Linked DNA regions of Kluyveromyces lactis. Each later gene encodes a partner of the first gene's protein in a complex. Links are inferred from orthologs where the notes say so. Each region holds a gene or a part of one and is shown in the gene's direction. Other genes may lie near its edges.

Evidence for each region. Proteins that work in one complex are often made in the same cells at the same time.
Region 2: STH1 (region 1) and RSC4 share a complex: the UniProt entries of both Saccharomyces cerevisiae proteins name them as parts of the two forms of the RSC complex. The link is inferred for Kluyveromyces lactis from reciprocal best matches to the Saccharomyces cerevisiae genes STH1 and RSC4.

What each region holds. Positions count from the first base shown.
Region 1 is NC_006042.1:437,193-440,955, reverse strand, and holds the start of STH1 (RSC chromatin remodeling complex ATPase subunit STH1), read left to right. Parts: upstream 1-1,272; coding exon 1,273-3,763. Other genes in the region: RRT14 (Rrt14p), read right to left, coding at 13-618. UniProt on the Saccharomyces cerevisiae protein: Catalytic component of the chromatin structure-remodeling complex (RSC), which is involved in transcription regulation and nucleosome positioning. RSC is responsible for the transfer of a histone octamer from a nucleosome core particle to naked DNA.
Region 2 is NC_006037.1:259,641-262,910, forward strand, and holds RSC4 (Rsc4p), read left to right. Parts: upstream 1-986; coding exon 987-2,666; downstream 2,667-3,270. Other genes in the region: MEH1 (Meh1p), read left to right, coding at 225-656; REC8 (Rec8p), read right to left, coding at 2,800-3,270. UniProt on the Saccharomyces cerevisiae protein: Component of the chromatin structure remodeling complex (RSC), which is involved in transcription regulation and nucleosome positioning. RSC is responsible for the transfer of a histone octamer from a nucleosome core particle to naked DNA.

The sequences.
Region 1 (3,763 bases):
GTAAATATGAGCTCAATAATCTTCATCTTCGTCTTCTGATTCCTCCTCATCGCTCGCACCAACTGGAGCCAATCCAGGTGTGAGAGCTTTATATCTGTGGTCTTGTATCGATTGTGGTAGCTTCTCCTTGAACTGTTTCTTCTTTTGTCTCCTAGATTTTACCTTCCTTACCTTCTTTGAATCTTCTGAGTTGGCAAGTATTTGTTTCTGTAAATCTAACAGTTCTTCCTTATCGTCATAATCCCAACTTTTCAGGTTGCGAACATTTTTCTTCACCACTTTATCCAAATAGGATTTCTCATGATCCGTAAGAGAATTATCTACTTGATGCTTTCTTAGTACTTGTAGCTTAGCCTTCTGTTCTATATCCTCTTGGACTTCTTTTCTTCCAGATATCTTCTTTCTCAACATTTTCTTCTCCCTCTTTTTGATCCGGTATACATCCTTTTCTTGTACCTCTACTCTTTTCTTCAAGTTCCTATCTATTAGTTGTGCTTTCGAGCCTTTGTCTCGGCTTGTTTTCTTTCTTTCTGCATTAACCGACGCAGAACCCGGCAGTACGCTTTGCAACAATGCGTTCACAGCGTTGGTAGCATGAGCAGCTGCAAGAGATGACATTATAATCAGAGAATTTTAGTTCTTCAAACCTTGATTGTCAATACAGAAGACACTTTTGTAACAGTTCGAAGCACTGTAACTATCTCAATCGGGGAACTTGATAGTTCACTCTCATCACATCTCATCTAATCTCATCTCATCTCATCCATGGCGTATTATCCAAATTTTCATTTTAGGTCATGAAATATTAAACAAGAAAAGAAACAATGGTGCCCACTTTAATGCGAATATTTTGGCACGTGATCGAAGTTGGTTTATTACCCGGTTCTTGTTGTTGTTACCCGTACTTTGGCCCATGGCAATAGTGAATGTCAAAGAAAAAAGTAAACACGATAAATAAAATTGTGAAAAAGAGGATGAATTTGAAAACAGTTTGATTTTATTCTGAATTTAGTTTTGACACGAGAAAAGGACGAACAGAGGTTTGTTTTCAACACGGCAACGGCGGCTAAAAAAATAGACGCACCGAAAGCGAAACAGTAAAGAATTCTAGGGCAATAGTACCTGTTTGTATCGCGTTAGCTTTGTGACAACTCTGAATTTTTTTAGCAGGACTTCAGTTATTGTTTTACCCCCTTTCAGAATAAAAAAGGTTTAAAGCTCACTAGCGGGAAGAGACCTGGATCACGTTAAGAAGTGTGAAATAAAACAACAATGGATCAAGTCGTCGTAACGAATAACGCGGATACAGCGCCTCCTTATCCGCTTCCTATAGTGAATTCTGAGAATGTTGATAATGGGAATTCCGAAACTGAAAACCAGGACGTTAACGGCAATATCGAAGACAACCATGTTGGTGCTGACAAAGGAAGCAACAACAATTTTCGGAACGACAGTGGTAGTGCTATTGGACAGAACCAGATTGCCGCTGTTCTAGAAGAAATGAAGAAGGTGGAAAGAGTAATCTTGCCACTACCTGAAACGAAAGAACAATTAGAAAATTTGATTTATCGTTACAGATACATTTCTCAATATAGAGATCATAATAAGCTTGAAGTTGAGGCTATTGAACAAATTTTCACCCAAATCTCGGATAAACAGGAAGAGTACAAGGAAAGGCTGCTGAGGTTAAGAGAAAACGCAGCCAAAGATATTCAGTGGGACGAAAAGTTGTTGAAGGAGCAAATGGTAAGCTTACAGCTTTTGAGTAAAGATATAAATATACCGGATGGCCTCTTAGAGGATGATGATGATGAATCAGTAAGTTCCGACAGTTCTGATATCTCGGTACAACTGGAGAAGGTTAAACTTTCTGTTGATTTCGACGAAACAAGTGTGCGCTTAGGCCTTCCCGAAGCTTTAAGCAACTTTCGTCTTAAATCTGGAAATGAAGCCTCGCTTGGAGATTGGGAGGTTGAAAAAATAATCTCCACACTCATTGCGAAAAGAATTAAACAACTTGAAAATCTACCCTCTAATTTGGGAACATATTCTTTAAATGATGCGCTTGATTTTGTAACTAAAGATGATATTCCTACCGGCGCAGACGACTTCAAGTTAAGAGCTTTGGTGGAGCTCAAGTCCTTGAAAATGCTAACGAAACAGAAATCTTTGAGAAAGAGGCTGATTGAAAGTGTTGCAGCTAAATCGCATAATATCATTCCATCTCTCCGTGACTCTCCTTATACTTTAGCAGCTCAAAGATCCATTCATGTTAGACCGAAGACCATCGTTCCACAAACTGCTAGATTAGCAGAAGAACTTGAAAGGCAGGAATTGGTAGAAAGCAGGAGAAGAGAAAGAAACTTACGGTTACAAAGGATCAATAATATTGTATCAAGTATCAACGAAAGATTGGAGAATGATACAACACAACGTGATCGCTGTTATCAAATGGGTAGATCTATCGGAAACTTGCATGGTCATTTGGAGAAAGATGAGCAGAGAAGAATGGAAAGAACTGCCAAGCAACGTTTAGCAGCCTTGAAGTCCAATGATGAAGAAGCATATTTGAAATTGTTAGACCAAACCAAAGATACAAGAATTACACATCTATTGAAACAAACTAATTCTTTCTTGGATTCTCTTGCTCAAGCGGTTAGAGTGCAGCAAAATGAGGTACGCATCAAAAGGGGTGAAGAAATTCCTCCAATCACGGATGAAGAAAGAGAAAAAATTGATTATTACGAGGTTTCCCACAGAATTAAGGAAACAGTAGACAAACAGCCAAGCATATTGGTTGGAGGCACGTTGAAAGAGTATCAACTAAAGGGTTTAGAGTGGATGGTGTCTCTATACAATAATCATCTTAACGGTATTCTCGCAGATGAAATGGGTCTAGGTAAAACAATTCAATCCATCTCGTTGATCAGTTATCTTTATGAAATAAAGAACGAGAGGCAACCATTTTTGGTGATTGTCCCTTTATCCACCATCACGAACTGGACTATAGAATTCGAAAAATGGGCACCTTCTCTAAGAACCATTGTGTACAAAGGGAACCCAAACCAACGTAAGGCTTTGCAACATACAATCAAAATGGGAAATTTCGACGTGGTTCTAACTACTTATGAGTACATTATAAAGGATCGTCCACTGTTGGCCAAACACGATTGGGCTCATATGATTATCGATGAAGGTCATAGAATGAAAAACGCTCAATCAAAACTATCTTACACGTTGACACATTACTACAAAACAAAAAATAGGCTAATTTTAACGGGTACTCCATTGCAAAATAATCTACCAGAATTGTGGGCTCTATTAAATTTTGTTTTACCTAAGATCTTTAATTCCTCAAAAACATTTGACGAATGGTTTAATACACCATTCGCGAACACAGGTACTCAAGAAAAGCTAGAAATGACAGAAGAAGAAACGCTTCTAGTTATTAGAAGATTGCACAAAGTTTTACGTCCATTTTTGTTACGTCGTTTGAAGAAGGAAGTCGAAAAAGATTTACCTGACAAAGTTGAGAAGGTTGTGAAATGTAAGCTATCAAGTCTCCAGCAGCAACTATACGAACAAATGTTAAAACATAATGCTTTCTTTATTGGTGCAGGAACAGAAGGTGCAACCAAGGCTGGTATCAAAGGTTTGAACAACAAGGTCATGCAGTTAAGGAAGATATGTAATCATCCATTCGTTTTCGATGAGGTTGAAAATGTTATCAACCCAACGAGAGAGAACAGCTCCATTTTGTATC
Region 2 (3,270 bases), on another chromosome or scaffold:
CTATGTAGCCCGATAGATAAAGAAGACGGGGTTACCCTATTCAAAACACCCACAACCCACATACTAGAATATGAAATTTATGCTTCCCAGTGCTTTTTATCAACATCTATAGTAAGTGTAGTTCCTTTACCTTAAAGCCACCAAGGCAATGAGATAGTTTACGTTTACTAACGAATTCTAGCATCAGTAGCTACCGAAAATCTGCCTAAAACATTTAAAATATTATGGGAAATGTGCTAAGTTGCTGCTTTCGTCAAGATAGCGACGAAAATGACCCGTTATTGCAGGAACAGGACAGGTACGGCTCACAAGCCCAATTAGATTATAACGAAATGGAACAACGACAGAAGGAAAGAGTGCTTGCAAGAGAACTTGAATTGACCGAAATCGTGAATAATACGAACGATAAGCTTATAGATATAGGTATGATCAGCAACAGCGGTATCGTAGCATCCTCACACGATTTAGGTTCGAGCTATGTGCAAGATCAAAGAGAAATTTTACATGACGTACCCTTAACGGTACTTCCCAGTTCGAAAATAAAACAGGACACAAGGAAGGCGATTCAAGAATTTCACAAAAAGTACTTCGCTAACCTAGTGAAAAACCTTACCGTGGAATATAACAAGCCATTGGTCGCCAATATCGAATCGTGACGCAATAGGTTTCTGCACTATTAGCGCACTCAAAATGGGTTCACCAAATGTTGAAATGCGATATATCACTATATACGTCTGAACATTTCTCAATCTTGTAAAGGTACTTTCACTCTCTTTATTGAAAACATTGAAATATACAAACTTTGTAGAATAGACATATAAAACAATACGCAGTATACGATTTTGGTTTGTCAAAGGAGCCAATTAGGTACGGTTAGAGTAAGTGCCTTGACTGCTGCATATATACTGAAATTTGTTCATTTAAGAAGCCAAGGAAGCGAGGAGGCAAAAAAAAAAGCATAAACAAACTGGAAAGCGCCAAATACTATGGCTGTGAAAAGAAGCAGATCAGAAGATCCCAGTGAGGAACCCGAACAAAAGCATTCAAAACAGAATTATGTACCAAGATATACACCAGGAAAACGTCCTAGAAGCGGCGCTCTACCCAAAGTGGATTATGTGCACCCTTTGGATCCTACAGAAGAGCTCATTGTAGATCTAGATTGGACTATTCCTAAGTTGAATTTGTTCATCGCATTTACTTTGGATAATTTAGTTGAAGCTCACAAGGCTTTATTCAAACACTTTATCAAACTACCCAGTAGGAAGTTTCATCCACAGTACTATTACAAAATTGATCAACCGATCTCTATTAACGAAATTAAAAGCAGGGATTACGAATATAGTGGTGGGGAAACCAAGTTCTTATTGGATTGTGAACTGATCTACAAGAACTGTCTTGCATATAACGATCCAGATTCTCTTATTGTTAAAAATGCGAAACAAGTGGTATATTTCATCAAAAATGAAGTGTTGAAAGTAAAAAATGCTACAAGAAATTTCTTGGTTAACGATGATGTGAAGACACGTTTCATAGCAATCTTTGACACTTTACTCAATGTAACAGATAAACAGATGGCAGAAATCTTAGCAGAAGATGATGACGTAAAATTAGAAGCGGCTTCTAACAACAACTTGGATGACACTTTAAACATATGCCAACCGTTCCTTGAATTGGTAGATAAAGATGAGTATCCAGAATATGAAGAAGTGATTCGTTTACCTAACTCATTGAACTTGGTGAAAAATAACTTAGAACTTGGATACTATCACAAAATCTACGATTTCATTACCGATGTTAATTTGACGTTTCAAAACGCATTGGTTTTCAATGACGAAGATACTACAATATATAGCGATGCATTGAAGCTGATGAAATGTTTTAGTGTATTGATCCAAAGAAGGTTCTTCCCTGAATTAGAAACTGCTAGAGAAAAAGGAGAAATCACGCTGGAATACGACAAAATTGAATATAAACAGTTCGTACAAGAAGAAGAAGAGGAAGAACCAATTCTTTCTGATGATGATGAAACTAACGAAGAATACAATTATATAGAGGGACTAGGAAATGGATATAATCGAGGCCCAATGTCTAGAGATTACCTTTTGGGACCATCAAAAACAAGTAAAACTGCAGACTCGAAAGTTGAAAACAATGAACCAGATAAACCACTTCCCTTGAAATTTAACATCCTTCCTGTTATAAAAAAGCACAACATTGAACCAAAGACAGAGCCAGTGCCTTATAAAGTGATAGAAAAGATTCAGATTTCTTCTTCTAGAAGTTTTTATGAACAATCAATACGACCACTGAAGGGACTGTATCAGAATTCCGACAATATCACTTGGTTCGAATACATATTCGCAGATGGTGCCCTCACCCAAACCAGCCACGAATATGCTATTACACTACCACCAAAACAAAATTCAATTACTGTGGTTTCACAATTAAGCTCTCCTGTTTCAGAAGATAGCCCTGCAGTTTTGATAGCAAACAAGGATAAAGTAAACCCAATACCAGTATTAGATGGGGATAAATTCGACGAAAGTAAAGCAAGATACGATATCAAGTTGGCAGAAGGTCTGAACACTGTTACTTTCTCTGTAAGAGATTCAGAGAACGACCGTTTGGAAACAGCCAAATTCTGGATTAGTGTATTACCTTAGTTAGCTATTATGTAGCTCCAGTGTAATATATGAAGACTATAAATTTACTCAAAAAATGGGGCTTGAAAGAAGAATCACTCTCAAGAGAACCGAACGTCAGTTATTAAAAAAAAAACACTCTCACTCGATCCAGTTAGCAATATACAATGATATCATCTCCATTTAGTACCCTGAACACCTTTTCAGGCTCTACATTATAAAGATCAATTTTCAACTTGCTCGAAGTAGCCAATTGTAAAAGCGACAAAAAGGCATTACAGGCAATTCTTTTAGTAACAGGTATAATCTCTTCATCTTCTTCCTGACTTAACTTACTTGGGATAATATCTTCAAAAAGGAATTTTCTGGAATAACCTGGGAAAGCGGCAGTTCTTTTACCTATGTGTTGTCCTCTCTCAACAATATATTGAAAGAATTTTTCTGTCTGCTTATCATGCACGATAAGCTGCTGTTGATTTTCATTAAATGTCTGTGGAATTGAATCTGATCCTGAAAGGTAGTCCGCAGAACCGCTGTCTCCTCTTATCGCTCCTCTTCTTCGATTTGGATATCCTCTTAAGTTTTCGAGATTGTCTGAATTGGCAGTATAGTTTCTGTTTGTGCT